Linked DNA regions of Macaca mulatta. The protein of the gene in region 6 purifies or fractionates together with the protein of the main gene of each other region. This does not show direct contact. Links are inferred from orthologs where the notes say so. Each region holds a gene or a part of one and is shown on either strand. Other genes may lie near its edges. The genes, in order: STAU1, HECTD1, MYL6, MYL6B, DVL2 and IQGAP1.

The links.
Region 1: the proteins of IQGAP1 (region 6) and STAU1 purify together in Homo sapiens (affinity purification with mass spectrometry; 4 studies listed by BioGRID and IntAct, with this or other methods). This does not show direct contact. The link is inferred for Macaca mulatta from reciprocal best matches to the Homo sapiens genes IQGAP1 and STAU1.
Region 2: the proteins of IQGAP1 (region 6) and HECTD1 purify together in Homo sapiens (affinity purification with mass spectrometry; 3 studies listed by BioGRID, with this or other methods). This does not show direct contact. The link is inferred for Macaca mulatta from reciprocal best matches to the Homo sapiens genes IQGAP1 and HECTD1.
Region 3: the proteins of IQGAP1 (region 6) and MYL6 purify together in Homo sapiens (affinity purification with mass spectrometry; 4 studies listed by BioGRID and IntAct, counting the BioPlex papers as one, with this or other methods). This does not show direct contact. The link is inferred for Macaca mulatta from reciprocal best matches to the Homo sapiens genes IQGAP1 and MYL6.
Region 4: the proteins of IQGAP1 (region 6) and MYL6B purify together in Homo sapiens (affinity purification with mass spectrometry; 3 studies listed by BioGRID and IntAct, with this or other methods). This does not show direct contact. The link is inferred for Macaca mulatta from reciprocal best matches to the Homo sapiens genes IQGAP1 and MYL6B.
Region 5: the proteins of IQGAP1 (region 6) and DVL2 purify together in Homo sapiens (affinity purification with western blotting; 3 studies listed by BioGRID, with this or other methods). This does not show direct contact. The link is inferred for Macaca mulatta from reciprocal best matches to the Homo sapiens genes IQGAP1 and DVL2.

What each region holds. Positions count from the first base shown.
Region 1 is NC_133415.1:101,966,591-101,970,090, forward strand, and holds part of STAU1 (double-stranded RNA-binding protein Staufen homolog 1), read right to left. Parts: intron 1,908-3,500; coding exon 1,769-1,907; intron 1-1,768. UniProt on the Homo sapiens protein: Binds double-stranded RNA (regardless of the sequence) and tubulin.
Region 2 is NC_133412.1:104,221,553-104,224,698, forward strand, and holds the end of HECTD1 (E3 ubiquitin-protein ligase HECTD1), read right to left. Parts: intron 1,705-3,146; coding exon 1,560-1,704; intron 1,448-1,559; coding exon 1,310-1,447; 3' UTR 501-1,309; downstream 1-500. UniProt on the Homo sapiens protein: E3 ubiquitin-protein ligase which accepts ubiquitin from an E2 ubiquitin-conjugating enzyme in the form of a thioester and then directly transfers the ubiquitin to targeted substrates.
Region 3 is NC_133416.1:63,309,899-63,313,833, reverse strand, and holds the start of MYL6 (myosin light polypeptide 6), read right to left. Parts: upstream 2,801-3,935; 5' UTR 2,758-2,800; coding exon 2,755-2,757; intron 2,498-2,754; coding exon 2,470-2,497; intron 1,594-2,469; coding exon 1,450-1,593; intron 1,217-1,449; coding exon 1,043-1,216; intron 950-1,042; coding exon 872-949; intron 577-871; coding exon 548-576; 3' UTR 532-547; intron 1-531. UniProt on the Homo sapiens protein: Regulatory light chain of myosin. Does not bind calcium.
Region 4 is NC_133416.1:63,303,961-63,308,109, reverse strand, and holds the start of MYL6B (myosin light chain 6B), read right to left. Parts: upstream 2,801-4,149; 5' UTR 2,756-2,800; intron 1,535-2,755; 5' UTR 1,468-1,534; coding exon 1,291-1,467; intron 573-1,290; coding exon 545-572; intron 330-544; coding exon 186-329; intron 1-185. UniProt on the Homo sapiens protein: Regulatory light chain of myosin. Does not bind calcium.
Region 5 is NC_133421.1:8,711,184-8,714,584, reverse strand, and holds the end of DVL2 (segment polarity protein dishevelled homolog DVL-2), read left to right. Parts: intron 1-206; coding exon 207-274; intron 275-468; coding exon 469-597; coding exon of another isoform or gene 598-615; intron 616-677; coding exon of another isoform or gene 678-716; coding exon 717-848; intron 849-982; coding exon 983-1,162; intron 1,163-1,293; coding exon of another isoform or gene 1,294-1,359; intron 1,360-1,604; coding exon 1,605-1,823; coding exon of another isoform or gene 1,824-1,844; intron 1,845-1,907; coding exon of another isoform or gene 1,908-1,930; coding exon 1,931-2,379; 3' UTR 2,380-2,901; downstream 2,902-3,401. Other genes in the region: ACADVL (very long-chain specific acyl-CoA dehydrogenase, mitochondrial), read right to left, coding at 3,140-3,280, 3,352-3,401.
Region 6 is NC_133412.1:80,384,156-80,387,655, reverse strand, and holds part of IQGAP1 (ras GTPase-activating-like protein IQGAP1), read right to left. Parts: intron 629-3,500; coding exon 520-628; intron 1-519. UniProt on the Homo sapiens protein: Plays a crucial role in regulating the dynamics and assembly of the actin cytoskeleton.

The DNA.
Region 1 (3,500 bases), on a different chromosome or scaffold from region 6:
TGATAAGTCACCTATACACTCTCTGGCAAATGTTCCTTCATCACGATCCTACTCACATTAGTGTTTGATGCTAATCACTCTTCATCAATATATCCAGAGATTTCATAAAAGCTTAAACTGGATTAGAATTGCTACACAGTATAAGAAAAGAGTTTTTAGCAATCCAAACTTACATCTCAGGAAACACAATGGCTTAGAAATTATGAGTTTATCATGCTAACCTGCACTGACAAAATCTAAAATGAATTAGGCTTTGGCGGAGACAGACACTTGGTTTGCTCTGCCTTCTCAAACCTTAGCTTTAAATTTGCATGTCTCCAATAGAAGGCTGGGAATTTTAACGCACAAGTCTTTTAGAAAGGACCCTCATTTCAAGAAATCCCAACAAGCTGTAGCCTACCTAGCAGAACCCAGTTTCTCATTCATTTCCCTAGCAGAACCCAGTTTCTTATCCATTTCATAGCTTGTATTTTTAAAATGGCTTTATCCCCCAACAGAGAGCAGGGAAATGAAGAATTCCATTTTGTTCATCATCTATCCACTAATTTTTTTTTTTTTTTTGAGATGGAGTTTCTCTCGTTGCCCAGGCTGGAGTGCAGTGGCGTGATCTCAGCTCACTGCAATCTCTGCCTCTTGGATTCAAGTGATTCTCCTGCCTCAGCCTCCTGAGTAGCTGCGATTATAGGTGCCCACTACCAGGCCCAGCTAATTTTCATATTTTTAGTAGAGACAGGGTTTCACTGTGTTGGCCAGACTGGTCTCAAACTCCTGACCTCGTGATCCGCCCACCTCAGCCTCCCAAAGAGCTGGGATTACAGGCATGAGCCACCGCGCTCGGCCTCCACTAATGTCTTACTACTGCCGGCAAAAGATTTTTTAATCCATGGCATTTTCAGGTTTCAATTAATATTTTACTGCAACAAAGCTATTTACAAAGCGCACAAGTTCAAAAGTCAAAAAGTACCCAATTATCAGGTAATCTACAAATGCTGGGAATCACTGTCTTGCAGGAATCATGATGCTATGGGAATCATGTTTGAATAAGATTCAGTTACACAAAGCAGTTACAAGGGTGATCTTTAGCCAGGCTGCTAGAGGGCACAAGCCACACTGCCAGTGAGAAATATGCTCAGGCCCTTTCCAAGAGCAGTAAAGAAGCACAAAGGGCCGGGTATAGTGGCTCATGCCTTTAATCCTAGCACTGTGGCAGGCTGAGGCAGGAGGACTCCTTGAGCCCAGGAGTTCAAGACCAGTTGGGGCAACATAGGGAGACACTGTCTCAATGAATTAAAAAAAAAAAAAGAGGGGCGGCCGGGTGCTCTGTGAGTTTGGGACTCACTTTGGGAGGCCAAAGTGGGCAGATCATCTGAGGTCAGGAGTTCAAGACCAGCCTGGCGAACATCGCAGAACCCCGTCTGTACTAAAAAATACAAAAAAAACTTAGCCGGGCGTGGTGGCAGGCGCCTGCAATCCCAGCTACTCGGGAGGCTGAGACAGGGAGAAATCACTTGAATCCAGGAGGCTGAGGATGCAGTGAGCCGAGACAGCGCCACTGCACTTCAGCCTGGGCGACACAGCAAGACTCTGTCTCAAAAAAAAAAAAGGCAGGGGAGGGGCACAAGGCACAAGAGTAATTAAGACCGACTTCAACATTTGGCAGGCCCAAACCAAATCATTACTCCCTCCACAATCTAGAGGTACTAGTTTATGTAAAATATCACACATTTTCACCTGTATTTTATGGAGAAAAAAAAAAACTCACACATACCTCGGGGGATAAGCACCTCCTCTCATGTTGTAGTTATAGGTGGACTGCATCCGAGAGTAAGGGTCAACAGGCTTATACATTGGTTTTTTTCCAAGTTTCATGCACAGTGCATTTAGTTCTACAGTAGGAGTTATGCTTTCTACAAGAAAGAATCGACAAATAACTGTTTTGTTCTGATATGAGAATGATACTCACTAAAATAAAATGTAATAGCATGCTTTCTGCTAATCGGATTCATGATACATAAAAGGACCTGGGTCACTGCTAGGCATCAGACAAGGAAATCCAAGAATATGCTGTGATTTCTCGATATTTATATATAGTCAACAGCACAAAATCTACTCTGAGGGTTATCAGAGGAGCCACAATTTAACCCAAGACATTATCAGTGAAAGCTATATGGTACAGCTGTCAGAAATAAGTTCCAAAACACATCAAATTTCACGATTAAAAAATCCCATGTAAATGTCCAAATTATTTTAGTGTTTGAGAATATTTAATCAATATAACCTTGGTTGTACTGATTTACAGGATTATTGGCTTGCACTCAGAAGTATATCTGTACACACTATTGAATGATGCATTTATTACGTTACTAACTGGATGCAAAGCACTGTGCTAAGCTTAAGAAATACAATTCCTGGCCAGGCATGGTGGGTCACGCCTGTAATCCCAGCACTTTGGGAGGCCGAGGCAGGCGGATCACGAGGTCAGGATATCAAGACCATCCTGGTTAACATGGTGAAACTCCGTCTCTACTAAAAAATACAAAAAATTAGTCGGGCGTGGTGGTGGGCACCTGTAGTCCCAGCTACTCAGGAGACTGAGGCAGGAGAATGGCCTCAGGAGGCAGACCTTGCAGTGAGAGTGGCTCACGCCTGTAATCCCAGCACTTTGGAAGGCTGAGGCGGGCAGATCACCTGAGGTCAGGAGTTCAAGACCAGCCTGGCTAACATGGTGAAACCCCATTTCTACTAAAAATACAAAAAATTTGCCAGGCATGGTGGCACGCACTTGTAATCCCAGCTACTTGGGAGGCTGAAGCAGGAGAATCACTTGAACCCAGGAAGCGGAGGCTGCAGTGAGCCGAGATTGCCTCACTGCACTCCACATCGGGCAACAAGAGTGAAACTCTGTCTAAAAAAAAAAAAAAAGAAACAATTCCTGCCCCAGAGGAGTTCAAAGAACACAAAGCACACTTAAAGAGCTACAATACAACACGATGTGCAACTCAAGGTGAAAAATCACTGAGGCGACCGCAACCCAATTCTTTTTGGAGAAGTTACACAAGGCCCACAAAATATTCAGGTATTTCCATTCTTGATATTTCTAATGGAATTTGACCTGTGGTAATACTTGCTAGGAAAATGAGTTCCATTTTCATATACAACAAGTTATCTCAAAATGTATCAACTTCAGAAGATACATGCTATTCATTTTCCAATTTTTCTTTCTCTCAGTTCATCCAATCCATAAACTTTTAAAAACCATTTAAAAAGAAAACCAGCCTGGAAAGATTAGTGTCAGTGCACAATCATATTTAAAAACAACACTTTCATATCAAAAACAGAACACTAGAAATGGCAAAATCTAAATGCACACAAAAATCCACTTTAAAATGCCTCTTTAGGGTGTATATACAGAGAAATAAAAAAGACCTTATTCTGTACTATAATTGGTTCAACTAAATTTAATGCATGAATCAACTCTATAAGAATAACATTGGGGTTTG
Region 2 (3,146 bases), about 24 Mb from region 6:
TGGCTAAATCAGGCCTAGTGTCATTCCTTTCACCTATAAGCACAGATATGGTAATAACTGGAATTTGGAAAATCCACTTTGGAATTTGGAAATACAGTCCCTTCTTCAAAACCACAAAACAGCAGTATCTTTGTGTTTTCTTTTGACACTAACACAACATTTAAAAATCATTCTTGGATCTTTCTTACATCCTCACTTTACATATCCCTGCAGATATAATAGTTGTGGATCTGGTGTTTTTTAAAACAATTAACACAAGTAACTGGTCAGTTCTAGCTGAGGCATACTTTAAAACTGAACCCAACCGTTGGATCACAAGTGTGTGAATATATATTTCTTCTAGTCTTTCAATTTTAATAACCGTATTTACTATAGAAAAACACATTTCTTTATGTAGTAATTTCAGAAAACTGTGGATGATTCAAAATGACAAGTACATGGTAAAGCTCTGAAGTCTGATGATTGCACTGAAATAGTCAAACGACACAGTTTTGTACGCTGCAAACATTTTAATCATTATTGTTGAGCATACATTTTGGAAATTTTTTACTTCAAACGGCAACAAGTTAAATAAATGTTTATAATATACAAAGAAAATACAACCAAAAGTAAAACTTGCTTTAAGTGTGCCTTGCACTTAGACCAGTGTTTTCCCCCCTTAATACATCTTTATTTTTGAGCTGCACAAACACACTTAAGACTTTGATCTTCATAGTACGGCATTTAGCAAATAAAAATATACTCCCACCTTAAAGAAATAAAAGGTTGGTGCATGATTATATGCCAAACAAAGAGAGAACACTAGAATACTCTTGATAGTGCAGGCATCATTAAAAAGGAAAAGAAAAAGCTTGAGATGCTCATTAATTCTCTATGTTTTAAGGAAGCAGGATTTTTGACCAAGTAGCTTAAAAGCCAGCAAAACAGGGATCAGTGACGGCAACTGTAGTGTATGGAGTATGAAATGACAAACTTTACACAAATACACTGTTAGAAATTTACCAGTGAACACTGAAGATCTGAGAAGCTGCTCTTTGGAACAGTCAAGTAGGACCACCTTATTCCAGTCACATAAGCCCTTGTAAAGTAACACAGTGTTCTGTGCTATATACTTGCTGGCTGGGTAGTTACAGGATTTGTTTTGTCATTAGCAGCTAACAAACTTATTCCACATGTTCTTAAAGCCTTAATGGTGGAAAAAAAGGCAAGTGTCATTAGCGTGGAGGATCATATACTTCTCTGCACATAAACACAAGAGGCTTCACTAGTATTTTTAAAGTCTCTGATGTCTCCCATTGCACTTCAAAGCTCAATTGAGATGAAAGCCTTTCTCCATTGTAGCAGCTAGCAGGCGCTCTCTCATGATCTCCTCGGAAGAATATTCAGGCAACTTAAGGTAATGCACACATGTATTGACTGATGGATAGCTTGCATCAGTAGCGTCAACCTACAGCAAGAAAGCAAACACAACAGAAGACCATGAGTTTAAATACTTCTTTCTTTCAAAAGTAAAGTAACTAAATTTCATTTGGATTCCCAATTAGCCACAGAGCTTGTACCTTGCGTACAACCGTGAGCCTGGGATGCAGGTTAGCCAGTCCACCTGGGGGTAGAGTTGAACAACCAGTGGTAAACTGCAAGAATGCTTTCCTTTCATCAGAAGACATGCCACATAAAACCCTCACAAACCTCAGGAAACCAGGGCTAAAAGAACAAAAATATAGTTATACTGAGTTGACTGCAGATTTAAATGAAAATCACTACCACTACTTTGTCAGCCAGCAACAAGCCCCCTAAAAAACAATATCCTCACACCAGAAGAACAACACATCTAGAGACTCTTGGGTAAGTATGAAATGGGCTAAGACAAGCTACTTTAAAAATATCCCTGGCCAGGTGTGGTGGCTCATACCTGTAATTCCAGCACCTTGGGAGGATGAGGCGGATGGATCACCTGAGGTCAGGAGTTTGAGACCAGCCTGATGAACATGGTGAAACCCCATCTCTACTAAAAATACAAAATTAGCTGGGCATGGTGGCGCATGCCTGTAATCCCAGCTACTTGGGAGGCTAAGGCAGGAGAATCGCTTGAAACTGGGAGGCAGAGGTTTCAGTGAGCCAGGATTATGCCATTGCACTCCAGCCTGGACAACAAGAGTGAAACTACATCTCAAAAAAAAAAAAAAAAAAAAAAATCCCTCAAAGCCTGTCTTGCACTTATAAATTGTAAGAACTAAAAAATACTGATGGTGTATGGGGTCCATCTATTATGCAACAAAGTCAGTAAATCATAAAAACATAGGATGCATTTGCAAAATCATTCCAAATATGGATAAATATACCAAAGGGGATCTGAAATAATCGATTTTTGTTCCAGCAAAATAATTATCTTGTGATAAATTTGTGTAATGAAATAGTAAATGAACTTGTGTAAATGAATTTGTGTAATGAAATAGTAAATGAACTATATGCCAGAACATGGATAAATCTCATGATCATGTTACTCAAAAGAAACCAGACCACAAAGAAAACAGACTACATGATTTTACATTAAAAGTTCAAAAGCAAGCAAAACTGATCAACATATGGTGATTAAATTAACAGAAAAGAATATCGTGGGAAGGGGGATTTTTGAAGTTGCTTCATATTCTGGATATATAGGTGTGTGCATTTTGAGAAAATCCTCTAAACTGTATATATGACGTGTGTACTTATCTGTTATATTCAATAAAAAGTTTAATATAAATGTAGTATAGCCTAACAGCTTACAATTTACCAAATTTTAAAAATGAACAATTAAAACACAATGAGAAAAGGAATCAACATCAACCATGATGTCAGCTGTCTTTTTTTTTTTTTGAGATGGAGTTTCACTCTTGTTGCCCAGGCTGGAGTGCAATAGCACGATCTTGTCTCACTGCAACCTCCACTTCCTGGGTTCAAGTGATTCTCCTGCCTCAGCCTCCCGAATAGCTGGAATTATAGGCGTCTGCCACCACGCCCAGCTAATTTTTGGTATTTTTAGTAGAAACAAGGTTTCACCATGTTGGCCAGGCTGGTCTCAAACTCCTGACCTCAAGTGATTCGCCCGCCTTAGCCTCCCAAAGTGCTGGGATTACAGGTGTGAGCCACTGCGCCCGGCCTGA
Region 3 (3,935 bases), on a different chromosome or scaffold from region 6:
CACCAGCTGTTAGTGCCCCTCCCCACCCTGAGCAGCAAGAACACAGCAGAGGCAGAAAAGTTCTCAACTACACCTACAGCTACTGTCAGCCACTGGCGGGAGGAGAGGACAAGAGTTTTGGGTTAGGGTACCTCCAAGCTGCCCAGCGAGGGAAGGGGAAAGGACTGTTCAGCTATAGCAGCAGAATGGGGCAGGCAACCCATACCCCTCTATGCCAGCTACCCATGCTCCAGGGCCAGAAGGTCACCCTAAAGCAAGACTGGTATACAGGCTGGTGAGAGTTCCCAGACACCAGCACCCAGGGCCCTATAAGTAAAACCTCAAGGCCCATTCTAGAAGTAAAGAGGTACCTTACCCCCAGGCTGTATTCCTCTATGAGGAATCCCTCCCCTCCCTAGTCAGCTCCATGCAGAAACATGCCAGGAGGAAGTCAGATGGTAGTAGGGTAAGGGCAGGGGATAAAGAGCACAGGTTGAGGAAAAAAGAAACACTGGGGAGATCAACTAGGGGAGAGGCTGGGAGGAGCCGTACCCGCCCCATGGGCCCGTCACCCCGACAGGATATGCCTCACAAACGCTGCAGGAAGGAAGAGACATTCATGGTGAAGACAAGACACAGACATGGGGTGAGGGGTCAGGCGGTGGGGACAGACATTCCATTATTTCACTTCTCATTCCTTCCCACCCTCTACAATACTACTCCTTCCTTTCCTGTTACACCCCCCTGACCTCCCACTCCTGGGCTGGGCTGGGCAGGGCCCTGCACCTTGCCTCCTGGCTCTTTTTGGAGCCCACGTCCAGGGATAGGGAAAGCCCCAAACACTATACTTGACCTGCCCCATGTGGCTGCGAAAGCGCAGTTCACCCCTTACCTTCATAGTTGATACAACCATTGCTGTCCTCGTGCCCTGCCACCAGCATCTCTACTTCTTCCTCTGTCATCTTCTCACCTGCAGGGGGAAAGAGAGCATCTTTGGAATTGGGAGACAAGTGAGGTATTCAGGGTGGCATCTCAGCTCAAGGACAAGGACACAGAACCTTACCCAGTGTGACAAGAACATGCCGGATTTCAGCACCCATGACAGTGCCATTTCCTTCCTTGTCAAACACCCGAAGTCCTTCGACATAATCCTCATAGGTGCCCTGGTCCTTGTTCTTGGCCACTGTCTGCAGCATGGGCAGAAAGTGCTCAAAGTCCAGCACCTTCACGTTCATCTCTGCCATAAAGGAGGTGGAAGTGTCAGGCCAGAGAAGTAACACAAGTTCTCAGGACGGGGGATAATAGAGACCTCAACTGAACAGAGAGATGACTCCCTCCTAAGCAGGGAAATCCATGGGATTTGCTAATCCAGACTTTTGAGTTTGGGGCCTATGAAGATAAAGGGAAGCTCTTAGCTGAAGAACTGTGGGCCCATGACCACACTGAGTTGTTGTTCTTGAGGCCCCTCACCATCACTCTTGGGGTTCCCCAGGACCTTGAGCACCTCGGCGTTGGTAGGGTTCTGGCCCAGGGCCCTCATCACGTCCCCACACTGGCTGTACAGGATCTTGCCATCACCTGTTCGGTCAAACAGCTGGAAGGCCTCCTTGAACTCTGAGGATTCAGATGAATGTCAACACAGGATTTGAGGGTTAACCCAAACCCTACCTCAGAGCCTGCTGCCCATTCAACTTTGATCATGCTGAGGAAACCAGATATCTGCACCAAACTGTACACCGAAGTGTACTTAAGAGGGATCTATTTATCTTCCTCCCAACTCAGGTGTCCTATATAGAGCCTTCCTCCCCCTCTGGCAGCCTGGTAACATCCATTTACACATCCCCCTCTGCCTGCGGCAGACCTGCCAATCTCCACTGCTGCTACTACACTTCTCAGGGCAGGAATTCGCCACCGCCCAGTCTCAGTCCTGTCCTTATAAGGAAGTGAGAGCAGCAGCCTGGGACCAGGGTCATCCCAACCTGCCACTTTGCACCCCTCCAGTACAAAGAGAACTTCCAGAGGGTAGAGCTACAGTCATATCCTTAGCAAACTCCCCTGTCCTGTCCCCATCTGCACAGAATATCAAGTCACTGCTCTACAGTCTTCACAACTGCAAGCTGGGAGGTCAGGGGCAGTTATCACAGGAGGAGAAAAAAGACAGAAGTAGCTGATTAAGGGACAAAGGAGAGCAGGCAGCTTTATACACCCTCCCCAGACCCCACAAACAGCAGGCATTAGGTGACCAAGTTTTTTCACATACCCACACCACCTAAAACTCACCCAGTGCTTGGGACTCAGATCTAGAGTGGAAGGGGAGGGAGGAAGAAAGTGAGAAAAGAAAATGGAGGATCCAAAAGAAGAGAAAATAATCCAGGGGGTAACCTCATAGGGGTGCTAAAGAGATGACAGATTAAGATTAGAGGATAGGTGCTGGGGGGCGGGTGTCCCTCTCCCTAAGGGTGACCTCGGTAGGGATCAGAGATAACCTACCTGCGGTCTGGTCTTCGGTGAAGTCACACTGCTCAGAGAAGAGGGAAGTGGTCAGCATCTGAACGCCAATCCCCCGAGTTTCTATCCCAGCCCCACAAACTCCTGTTTCAGGCTGCAGACTCGCTTCCCCGCAGGATAGGGCCCCAGGCTTTCCAACCCCACCTCCAACCTTTCGGGTCCTCAGGTTCCCTTTGCCTCCTACCCCTGCCTTCTCCTCGCCCCCCCACCCGTCTCTTCCCACCTCTCGCCCCCAATCCTGCCCATCTCCCAGGACCTGGGCCCCACCATCTTGACTGCTCAGCTCTGCGGGACCTTTTCCTGCAGTAATGGCTCCGACTCTCGGCCCAACCCTAGTCTTAGTACGTCCCAATGACGTCACCCTCAGCGGACTCAGCCAATAGGAACCGTGACCTGGGTTTATGCAGATAATTGCTACATTAGTAATGACGTGGGCGGGGCCCGCTGTTCGTTTCTCCAGCCCTACCTGGGCACAGAACCGCTCGGGGATGGGAGTGGGGGGGGCGTGGGGCACAATTAATCTGCGCCTCCCAACAACAGGAACATTAGAGGACTGGAAGAGGAGAGAGCCTTCTTTTCCCGCCCTCTCCTCCTAGCACCCTCCCCGTCTCCCCTTGCTCCCCCAACCATGAAAAAAATAGTCTGAAACGAAGAGAGGAACCCAGTCTTTATTTTGAAACAATAGGTGGCCTCCTGGTGGCTGGAACGTGCTTCCGCCCGCGGGGCCCAGTGTCCGGACCCCACTGGATCTGTGGAAAAAAACGAAAGTTGCCAAGCGCTGGAGCCCGCGCAGCAACCGGACAGCAGAACGAACTCCGCTGCTTTTCTATGCTGGCTGAGAAGCGCGGGAGACTTGCCTCTTAAGGCGCGGTGAAGGGGTGGGAAGGCCCTACCTGTAGCACTCAGACGCTTAGGATGTGTTTCAAGAAGGCTGCAAAGAGAGGAGGCAAGAGGGGCTTCAGAAGCAGGCCTCTGGATAATACATCTGACTCTAGATAATTCAGGGGTGCCCCCACCCACACGCGGCAAGACGCCGGGCTCCCCTCCTCCCCCGGCCCCGCTCCTGCTTTTTTGGCCCCTCACCCTCGTAGTTGATGCAGCCGTTGCTGTCCTCATGTCCTGCCAGAACAGTCTCCACCTCCTCCTCAGTCATCTTCTCTCCTGAATCCCAGACACAACGTCTGAGTCCCTGCTTTCCCTCCTTCACTCACCCAGGCAATGCTTTTTTCCGAGACGTTGTTTCGCTCCTGTCACCCAGGCTGGAGTGCAGTGGAGCAGTCTCGGCTCACTGCAACCTCCGCCTCCCGTGTTTAAGCGATTCTCCTGCCTCAGCCTCCCGAGTAGCTGGGACTACAGGTTCACCGCTAATTTTTTGTATTTCTGGTAGAGATGAGTTTTCACCATGTTGGGCAGGCTGCTCTCAAACTCTTGACCTCAGGTCATACACT
Region 4 (4,149 bases), on a different chromosome or scaffold from region 6:
CTGTAGTATCACATAGGACCCGGCTCCCAACCCTACCACAATGCTTTCATCCTGTTCAGCATTTAGGATATTTTCCTGCTTCTGTGTTTGACAGTTTTTGAAGTCCTGAGATCCACCTCATTCTTTGTTACCAACATTCAACTTTTGAAAACTAAAAACCCAAATTGTTCCAAGGGTCCCCTCACCATCACTCTTGGGGTTCCCCAGGACCTTGAGCACCTCGGCGTTGGTGGGGTTCTGGCCCAGGGCCCTCATCACGTCCCCACACTGGCTGTACAGGATCTTGCCATCCCCTACTCGGTCAAACAGCTCGAAGGCCTCCTTGAACTCTAAGGTATAAGGAAGGGTCAGTGTAGACACTGACTAGGGGTTCCCATCACCCCCAGACAGAAGGGAATTTCAGAAACTATGTGAACAGAACAAGGGAGGAAAAGAGGACTAGTATGGGAGGTTTCAAGGTCGGGACTGGGGTTAGGGGAATAGAAAGAGAATCTGACCAGGGGATTGGGGACTGGACAGTGGGCTTAGACCAGCTTCTCCTCACCCTCCAGCTGGTCCTTGTTAAACTCGATCTGTGGAAGAAAAAAGCAGGTGGGGAGAGATGACAGTTTATTCAGTCCCTCTCCAGCACTCTTCCCAACCAACTGGCAGCCACTTCTGAGGAGGGGCCCAAAGGGACCAGGCTGGAAGCCCAGCCACCTCAGTCCCATTCCCAGCTCTGGGCCTTGGGAGAATCCCAAGAAGAGGAATTACAGTGGGGAGGGTTTCCTGGGAACAGGGTTAATCCCATGCCACCTGTTTCCCTCCCTCCATTGCCCTGAGCCCTGCATCCCTCACATAACTGGGGGCTGAACAAAGGCTAAATTTACCCCTGGCCCCCAGCTGTGATTGTCTAACAAGTCTGTCCTCTTCAGCCTCCCTTCCTGGAGTTCAGAGCTGCAGGCCTTTTGAGTTGAATCACCAGCCAGGGGCAGGCAACAGCTCTTTTCCCTTCACCTTGAAACTGTCCTCAGAACCCAGATGTTCCCCATCTAAGAGTCCCTGCCTCCAGCAGGGGGTAAGTGAGTGTGCATGTGCTGTACACACATGGTTATAGGTTAGAGGGAGAGAACAGCAAAGACAACAGCAGAGTCATAAGCCTGGATGCTTCCAAATGGGGGACTAAGGGAAAGCCCCAATCTCATTCCAGGGTTCATTGATTCCCTACCTTCTAGATACCCCCTAATCCCCTAAGCTGTATCTCACCCTCAAACCACCCCCTCCAATTATCTTCACTTTCCAGAGACTCACCACCACTTTGGAGAGATCGATTGGAGGCTCCTGGGTTTTCTGAGGGGCCTGGGGGACAGCTGGCTCAGCTTTGCTCTTGGCTGGAGGAGCCCCTGCTGCTGCTGCTGGCTTAGCAGCAGGTTTGGAGATGGAGGGCCCTGCTGGTTTCTTCACGGGAACATCCTTCTTGGGAGGCATGATGTCCGGTGGCCAAAGGACAGTGTGCGGATGGGGGCACCCATCTCTGTTTAAATAGCCAGGGAGTCTGGGATGTCAAGGGGCGGGGGCAGGGGCAGGGAGCCAGTTGGCTGTGGCGAGGATGAGGTAGAGGAGAGATATAACCGTCTGCCCTCACTCCCCTGGCCTCCTATGGTTCAGGACTCCTGCCCCAAGGTCTTCTTCCCTCTGTCCCCTCATCCCCAAAGGCTGTCCAGAAAAGAACAATGTTTCCTTTGAGGGTAGGGGAGGAAGCCAGGGACTGCCCAGAATGAGAGGTAGTTAACCTCCAGGGTGAGGATAGGATGCTTGCACTGAGATGGGGGTGGTGAGGCAAAGCAGGTGATCCAGCAGCTTTAGTCTTCTCGAAGGGTGGGGTGAGGGGTAGCAGTCAGGGAGGCTTGTGTGAACTGGAACAAGTTAAAGTGTGGTCTGGGAGCAATGACAAAAACAAGCAGCCCATCTGCCCAGCCCCTCCACTCCTTTCTGACCATGGCTTTGTAAAGAGCAGGGGTAGTTAACCCTACAGTCTAATAATCCCTAATACTTGTAGTTCCTGAGCCCGCACCCAGCCAAGAATTGAAACTATTCACAGTATAAAGGAAGAATAGTCATAGAAACAGGAGTGTGACATCCCTCATTGTCTCCTAGTGCGCAGTGTTGTTTTAGGGGAAGGAGTGGGGGCAAAGATCAGGTTTAACATCTGCTACCCATTCTTCCATGGAAGGAACCTTCTTCCACAAGACCACTGTCATTCAACACAAACAAAAGGTAGGGCGCTTGCTGAACCTGTGGGGACCCTGTGGTGGCACCCGAGAAGGGCGGGCTCTGGGAGAAGGCTTAAATTCCCTAATCCAAGAGGATGTGGGCACTCCTATGGCCTCCATGAGTATTCATCCCACTACCAGGGGTATAATAAAAATCCCGACTCAGGGGCCAGGTCACAAACCTTGCCGGGGGCACTGGGAGAGAGTCCAAGTTGGGGGGTGTTTGGGAGTGGGGAGGGGTTGCGGCCTACTTTTGTTCTGGGGGAAATTAGGAAAGGATTTAGGTAGCATTCTGAGGAAGATAGCAGTGACTCCACTTAGGCCCCGGGGTTGATGCTGGGTCTCCCATTCGCAAAACAGTGTCTGAATCTCATTACTGCAAACTGTCCCATTTTTACAAAATACATCACACACAGACACACACACACACACACACACACACACTCTCACACACCCCACTAAACCTTAAAGAAAGCGGCTCTCCTCAGCCCCCCAAAACTCACCCTGCGGGGTCCGCGTCTGTGGCTGGGGAGGGGGCGGTGCACAGCGCGGCCCCCCAGCCCTGAAGGGTTAATTCCGACGGCCGCGGAGCATGCCGGGAGTCGTAGTCCCCAGTGGGCTCACGGGATACGCCGCGCTCTAGATTGCAGCTGAGGCTAGGGCGGTGGCTTCCGGCCCATGGCGGCGTTTGGTGACTCAGTGTCCTTCCATGTCCCGGAACTGAAAGGCAATGAACAATTTCCAATCCACCCCAACCCTAAAACCCTGCAGGGTCCCTAGGGTATCCCTCCTACTTAGCCCTGGCGGGCTCCTAGTCTCGGGAGGCGGTGGGGGGGGGGGCGGTGGGGAGCGGGGCAGGTGTTTTCCTGGACCTACTGCTGAAAGAACTCCGAACCAGGGGAAAGGTTGAGGCTGCAGCAGGCAGCGTGGAGGTCAGATAGCTGGAAGCACTTACGGCCCCAGGGAGAGCGGCTGCGCTCTTTTTCGCTTCCTCTTGGGTTTGGTGGGAAAAAAAGAGGCCTCAGAGTAGTTTGTTTTTAATGAACTGGTTGCTGAAGTAAATGTTAAAATTTGCAATTAAGCCCAGTCACCTGCCCCAGCCTTCTGATCGAGGTTTCCATCCTGCGGCCGCATATGCGCTATCCTCCCCGGTCTTCATAGGTTCCTGAGCGGAGGGCTGGGCTTTCCAGACCTACTTTCTGAGACACTTATGGTCAGCATTGGAGTTTACTGGTTCCCCTAGGCGTTGATCAGAGGATGGGAACCAGCCCGGCCGGGCCCACCTTCATTCACTGGATCAGTAAATACACTGGCGGTGCACCTGGTGTTGGAGGCTGGGGCTGCACTGGCGTGTGAGGATTCGGTCAGAGCAGAAAACTCGGGCGAGGGCAGGGTGGTGAGGCACAGGTGAACTTTATGGGCAGTAAGTAAGGTTCACTGGTTCGGGAAAGTTTATTGGAAAGGTAGAAATGAATTGTACGACAGAAATAACGATGATAGTAAGTTAGCAACCATTTCTGGAGGCCACCATAGATCTGCTACCGATGAAGGGGTTAAATTATCTCAGAGGGTGCTCAAGTGCATGGGGTTCAGACGAGCCTGCTCATATTTGAATCCTGGTTCTACCAGGTGCTGGTTAGTGGCCCTCAGCAGGTTTAGTTGTCTCTCCTGGGCCTCAGTTCCTCATCTGTAAAATAATGATAATGGTACCTGCCTCATAGGGCTCTTAGGAGGATTCGAAGTGTTATTATTGGTAAAATAGGGCCGGGCTTGGTGGCTCACGCCTGTAGTCCCAGCACTTTGGGAGGTGAGGCAGGCTGGTCACCTGAGGTCAGGAGTTCGAGACCAGCCTGGCCAACATGGTGAAACCCTGTCACTACTAAAAATACAAAAAAAC
Region 5 (3,401 bases), on a different chromosome or scaffold from region 6:
TCATTTGGCAGTATGTTTTTAAGAGTTTTCCATGTTGATGAGTCATCCGCATTGTGGTGCCTTCCACCCTCACCTTCTCCAGCCCAGCCGCGATGTGCTTGCTTCTCCTTCTCTTTGTGTCTCTTAATCCATCCTTGCTTCAGGCCCCCACTCTCCTGAGGCCTCCTCTTCCCCTGCGCCCTTGACTGGACTTCTCTTCCCCGTAGCCCCATTGTGCTGACTGTGGCCAAGTGCTGGGATCCCTCTCCTCAGGCCTATTTCACTCTCCCGAGAAGTGAGTGACACTCAGGGAGGGGGCCTGAAGTTGGGGGTGGGGGCTGGCCAGGAGGCTGGGGCTGGACCTCTGGTCATGGGGAGTGGGTGGGAGGAGGGTCCAGGCAGAGGTGGAACAGGAGGCTGAGTCAGGGAGGGACTGGGCTGGCTTTTGGGGACTGAGAATGGGTCATTTTGGTGCCATCTTTGTCCCAGATGAGCCCATCCAGCCAATTGACCCTGCTGCCTGGGTGTCCCACTCTGCGGCTCTGACTGGCACCTTCCCAGCCTATCCGGGCTCCTCCTCCATGAGCACCATTACATCTGGATCCTCTTTGCCTGATGGTGAGCCACCAGCCCACCGCATCCCACCCTCCCAGCAGAAGGCTGTCCTGCAGTGGTCTGACCCATTGCCTTTGTGGGAGTGATCCCTGACTCTCATTCCCTGTGGTCTCCTCTGCCAGGCTGTGAGGGCCGGGGTCTCTCCATCCATACGGACATGGCATCGGTGACCAAGGCCATGGCAGCTCCAGAGTCTGGACTGGAAGTCCGGGACCGCATGTGGCTCAAGATCACCATCCCTAATGCCTTTCTGGGTACGGCTGGGTCCTGGGCAGGTGGCTGGAGAAAGGGAGGAGGAGGCAGCCAAAGCCGGGAGTGGCACAGGCAGAGGCGAGAGCAGGAGTTGGAAGGAGAACCTGAGGCCTTTTTCCACTGTGGATGCTCCCAGGCTCGGATGTGGTTGACTGGCTCTACCATCACGTGGAGGGCTTTCCTGAGCGGCGGGAGGCCCGCAAGTATGCCAGTGGGCTGCTCAAAGCGGGCCTGATCCGACACACCGTCAACAAGATCACCTTCTCTGAACAGTGCTATTACGTCTTCGGAGACCTCAGTGGTGGCTGTGAGAGCTGTGAGTCCCTCTGCCCCAACTCTGGGAGTGTGGCTTTGCCTGCCTTGTTCTGCCTCTCCAACCCTAGACCTAGCCCAGAAACTGCAGCCAGGGCCACGATGGATGGTCGAGCAGCGTGTGTCCCGCACTAGGTCCTGCATTGGCCGAGGATCGTGGCTGGCATCCATCCATGCGCTGCTGGACAAGCCACGCGCCAGGTGCAGGACTGTGTCCACCGGGGGAAGGTGCACATCCTCCTGAGTCCCACAAAGACATGGGCTAGTGGTGGCCCTGGCTGTGCCCCTGCCCTCATGGCAGAAGTAGATGGGAGTTTCCTGTCAAGAGTCCCCTGTGAACCCCTGTTTTGAGCCCCATCGTGGGTGGGTCTGGGCTCTCCATTCCGTGTCTTGGGGCCTTAGCCTCTTGAAGCAGTGATTTCTTCCTCACTTCCCTTGTTTTCCAGACCTAGTCAACCTGTCTCTCAATGACAACGATGGCTCCAGTGGGGCTTCGGACCAGGACACCCTGGCTCCTCTGCCTGGGGCCACCCCCTGGCCCTTGCTGCCCACTTTCTCCTACCAATACCCGGCCCCACACCCCTACAGCCCGCAGCCCCCACCGTACCATGAACTTTCATCTTATACCTTTGGTGGGGGCAGTGCCAGCAGCCAGCACAGTGAGGGTAAGTCATCCCCACATACCTGTACGGCCAGGGTCTGAGGGTGGATCAGAGGGCAGCCAGGGAGGAGCCTGGGTGAGGACTTAGTTGCCCCTCCCCTCCCTCCACAGGCAGCCGGAGCAGTGGGTCGACCCGGAGTGATGGGGGGGCAGGGCGCACAGGGAGGCCCGAGGAGCGGGCCCCCGAGTCCAAGTCCGGCAGTGGCAGTGAGTCCGAGCCCTCCAGCCGAGGGGGCAGCCTTCGGCGGGGTGGGGAACCAAGTGGGACTGGCGATGGGGGCCCTCCTCCATCCAGAGGCTCAGCTGGGGGTGCCCCTAATCTCCGAGCCCACTCGGGGCTCCATCCTTATGGACCACCCCCTGGCATGGCCCTCCCCTACAACCCCATGATGGTGGTCATGATGCCCCCACCCCCACCTCCAGTCCCTCCAGCAGTGCAGCCTCCGGGGGCCCCTCCAGTCAGAGACCTGGGCTCTGTGCCGCCAGAACTGACAGCCAGCCGCCAAAGCTTCCACATGGCCATGGGCAATCCCAGCGAGTTCTTTGTGGATGTTATGTAGCCCACTGTGGGGCCAGGCTTGGCCTGGCGCTCCTGGTGTGTGACTGGCTGTCCTGGCCATCATGTGCTTGCTCTTACAGTGCCTGGGCTCAGCCTAGCAGCTGCTGCCATACAGGAGATTGTGGCCACTGTGACTCTCACCAGCAGTGCCTGGTTCCTCCCCCTTCCCTCGGGTAGACAAGGGACCTTTGATTATTTTTAGCTTTGTTTTTTTAATAAGTCTTTTTGGGGGTTAAAATAGAGTTTCTTACATTTTTGGGACTTTTTAAATAGGCATTTTCTCTTTTATATGAAAAATCCCGTCCGTTGGGCCCCTTCTAACCCCAGAATGTGACCTCCTCCTCCAGTTACCCATAGCCTTGCCCTGTGCAGGTTTGGGGGTGGTCAGTGGTACCCTGGGGTTAGGCACCCTAGACAGCAGCCTGAGGAAGCTGGGAGATTTGGGCCATGTAGCTGCCTTTGTTACTCTATTTATTTTAGTCACTTGTATAAAACACCAAATAAAGCAATAGAGGCAAACTCCCCACGCCTCTGGCTCCTTTCTTTGGGAGGGAGGCAGGCAGCAGAGGGAAAGAACGGACACACAGGAGCAAAGCATGACTGGTTAGAAATTTTTATTATTTTCGAGGCAGTAAGTGCTCTTGAGAGCAGGCACAGTCCTGGGAATACTAGGCCCCCTCCGGGACAAACCAGGGCCCTAAGGAGAGGGGCTTTGGCTTGAGGAAAGGCACATAACCGGGCCAGGCCCTGGCCAGGAGTATTCAGAAGCCAAGTGGGTTGCTGGTGACCACACCACCCCGCTCCACCAAGGCCTTGGAGATGCTTTTGAAGTTGCGGTAGAGCTCATGCTGCCGGGGGTCAGACTGCAGGGCGGCCATGCCCTCTCGGATCCGGGCTGCAGCCTGGGGAGAGGGAAGGAGGGTTGGGCCTGCACCTCTAGCCCTCACCTGAGCTTAGCAGCCCCGAGTCTCACCTCGATACACCAGGTGTCACAGAGCATTTTCTCATGCTGGGCCGTGTGGT
Region 6 (3,500 bases):
AACGTGTAAAAATCAGATATTTCAAAATAAAACTTAGGGATCTTTATGCTGTAAAAATGAATTACTCCCGAGTTCTTTTTGGATTTAAGATAGGATGTGGTTTACAAACATAAACTTTACACACACCTTGTCAGAAGTGCATCTAACCTTTAAGTACCTACATCAAATCAAAATGAGAAAAAAATTTCAAGCTACTGAGTGGACTTACAATTTTGCAATGTCAGCATGTGTACTTATGCATTTTGTTCAAGTCCAAGGTATCAGCTCAATTTAGTGGCAGCACTAAGTGGAAGCTTCAGATAAATGTTTTCTGAAGATTTACATCTGCAAAAGCTCTCCAGAGTGTACACACCAAACCAGACGTGCTGCAACACTCAGCTTCTTTCCCCACAGTGTGGAGCCCAGCTCACTGCTGAATGTAGACAGCTTTCCTCAGATGAGTCTCCTCTTTATCTAGTTCTCCTACTTGGACAAGAATCTCATCCAGAAAGCTTTTGGTTCCTGCTGGTGCATACCCACCTGATAATGTAACATAAAAGTCTCCATTTGAACTCCCATGAATTTGGCTTTCACTTCAAAGTCTCCAACTTCTTCTGTTGGACTGATTTCAAAGATAACATTTTTAAACCTGTTGAAAGATAACATCGTAAGGGTATGGTTTTTATGTTCTTATATAAAAATATTCTGTGAAATGGGGAAAGGAGATGAACCAAGTCTTCAAGGGTGAAAAGGGGTAGAAAATACAGGTCAAAAGTACTTCTGCACCTGAAGCAGCACGGATTGCCATGCCTAAGTACCATCTGCTCTGGGACTTGGAGAGAGGAATGGCAACCTCTCTCTGCCTGCAGCACTTGCATTCTATAAAAGAAGAACCACTGAGGAGTGCCACAAGTGGCCTGTGAAGGGATGACATCATAGTAATTCTCTTCACTTCCACATGGCCAAAAATGAAACCTAATGATAAAAGGAGAAAACAGGAAACTGGGGTGGAAGGAGATGGTATGTGTGTTTGAATACATGCATGTTTGAGGACTGGGAGAAGTAAATAAACAAAAGGGGGTCAGTAAAAAAAGCTCCAAGGGAGGAGGTTTTTCTAGAAAGAGTAGGTGCTGTGTACATAAGCACACTCAGTATTACCAAAGATAAATTGTTATTATTAAAAATATTTAAGTTATCACTCATTCACAACATGTTACCTGCCAGGAAATTTTAGGAAGCCAAAAGGAAAAGGGGTTATGCAGCCGGGCACGATGCCTCACATCTGTAATCCCAGCACTTTGGGAGACCGAGGCGGGTGGATCACAAGGTCAAGAGATCGAGACCATCCTGGCCAACATGGTAAAATCCCGTCTCTACTAAAAATACAAAAATTAGCTGGGTGTGGTGGCATGCATCTGTAGTCCCAGCTACTCAGGAGGATGAGACAGGAGAATTGATTGAACCCGGGAGCCAGAGGTTGCAGTAAGCTGAGATAGTGCCACTGCAGTCCAGCCTGGTGACAGAGCAAGACTCCGTCTCCAAAAAAAAAAAAAAAAAAAAAAAAAAAGGGGATTAAGGCATTCTCTGGGTGATCAAAGTATAGCACCCCAGATTTCCAGAACTCAACTATGGAGCTACCTTACCTATTACAAACAGGGCTGAGAACCATGAAAGATGCAAAAAGGTCACTGAGAGTTAAAGGAGAAGTCACAAAAACCCATGCACTGAAACATACATGCATTTTATTCAACTGGAATGCCTCACGGGTTATTCCTTAAAGATATTTATCTTAAGTGATAAATAATTTTATCAGATTTAGTTGGCTATTTAGTTTCTAAACCCATAGAAGCAAATTAAAAAGAAGAAAGAAAGGCAAATAGAGGTAGGCACTTGAACAGTAGTGGAAAATAATGACAAAAAGAAGGGCAATATTGACTCATGCCTGTAATCTCAGCACTTTGGGAGGCCAAGGCAGGAGGACTGCTTGAGCCCAGGAGTTCAAGACCAGCCTGGGCAACAAAGTGAAACCCTGTCTCTACAAAATATAATTAGTTGGATATGGTGGCACATGCCTATGGTCCCCGCTACATGGGAGGCTAAGGTGGGAAGATCTCTTAAGCCCAGGAGGTTAGGGCTGCAGTGAGCTGTGATCATGCCAGTGCACTCCTGCCTAGGTGACATAGCAAGACTCTTTCTCTAGAAAAAAATTTAAAAATTATGTACCCATTAAAAAGGATGCTTTCAATGAATATAAAAAATGCTCACAGCATAATGTTATAAGAAAAAAGTTGGATACATGACCATAAACAGTATTGTCCCAGTTTGTGTTAAAAAATATTAAGTAGTTATTTTAGGCTGGGTGCAATGGCTCATCCCTATAATCCTCCCAGCATTTTGGGAAGCTGAGGAGGGCAGATCAGCTTAAGATCAGGAGTTTGAGACCAGCCTGGCCAACATGGTAAAACCCTGTCTCTACTAAAAATACAAAAATTATTTGGATGTGGTGGCAGGCACCTGTAATCCAAGCTACTTGGGAGACTGAGGCAGGAGAATCACTTGAACCTGGGAGGCGGAGGTTACAGTGAGCTGGAGGTTGCAGTGAGCCGAGATTATGCCACTGCACTCCAGCCTAGGCTACACAGAGAGACTGTTCCCCCTCCAAAAAAAAGGCCTGTAATTCCAGCACTTTGGGAGGCCGAAATGGGAGGATCACGAGGTTAGGAGATCAAGACCATCCTGGCTAACATGGTGAAACCCCATCTCTACTGAAAATACAAAAACTTAGCTGGGTGTGGTGATGCATGCCTGTAGTCCCACCTAACTGGGAGGCTGAGGTGGGAGAATTGCTTGAACCCTGGAGGCCAAGGTTGCAGTGAGCTGAGATCGCGCCACCATACTCCAGCTTGGGTGACAGAGAGACTCCGTCAAAAAAAGAAAAAAAGGGGGGGGGGAGAAGAAGAAGAACAAAAAAAAATATATATAAAGTAGTTAGATAAATAAGTGGGTGAGTTGTGGATAATCTTTATGTGAATAGAAAAAAAATACATTAAAATGATTTCCCTGGTTATCTCTGGCTTGTGAAATTACAGGTGTTTTCTTTTTTATGCTTTACTGTATCTTCAAAGTTTAATAATGAATACATATTATTTTAGAATCAGAAAACTGTAAAAGTTCTTTTTTTAAAAGTTTTTTTTTTTTCCCCAGACACAAGAAGGGAAAGATCAGTAGCCTGACGTCACAGGGCTGACTGAGCAGACGCTTAATAAATGCTTGCTAATGAGGCTGGGCCCAGGATCTATGGGAGGATGACATGTCAGGTCCATGAACCACCTGCAAAGCAAGCTGATACTTCCCAGAAAAGAAAATGAAGGTTAAGTGCCTGGTTCCTAGCTGTAAGTGGAATAAAGCAAACTCCTCTTATTGTTACTCTTAATTTATTCTTGGTTCAGAAACAGAAGAAATCCAAGGAGTGGCTTCCTGCTTTAATGATGAAAAATTAAGATCAGACCCAAAGAAGTGAA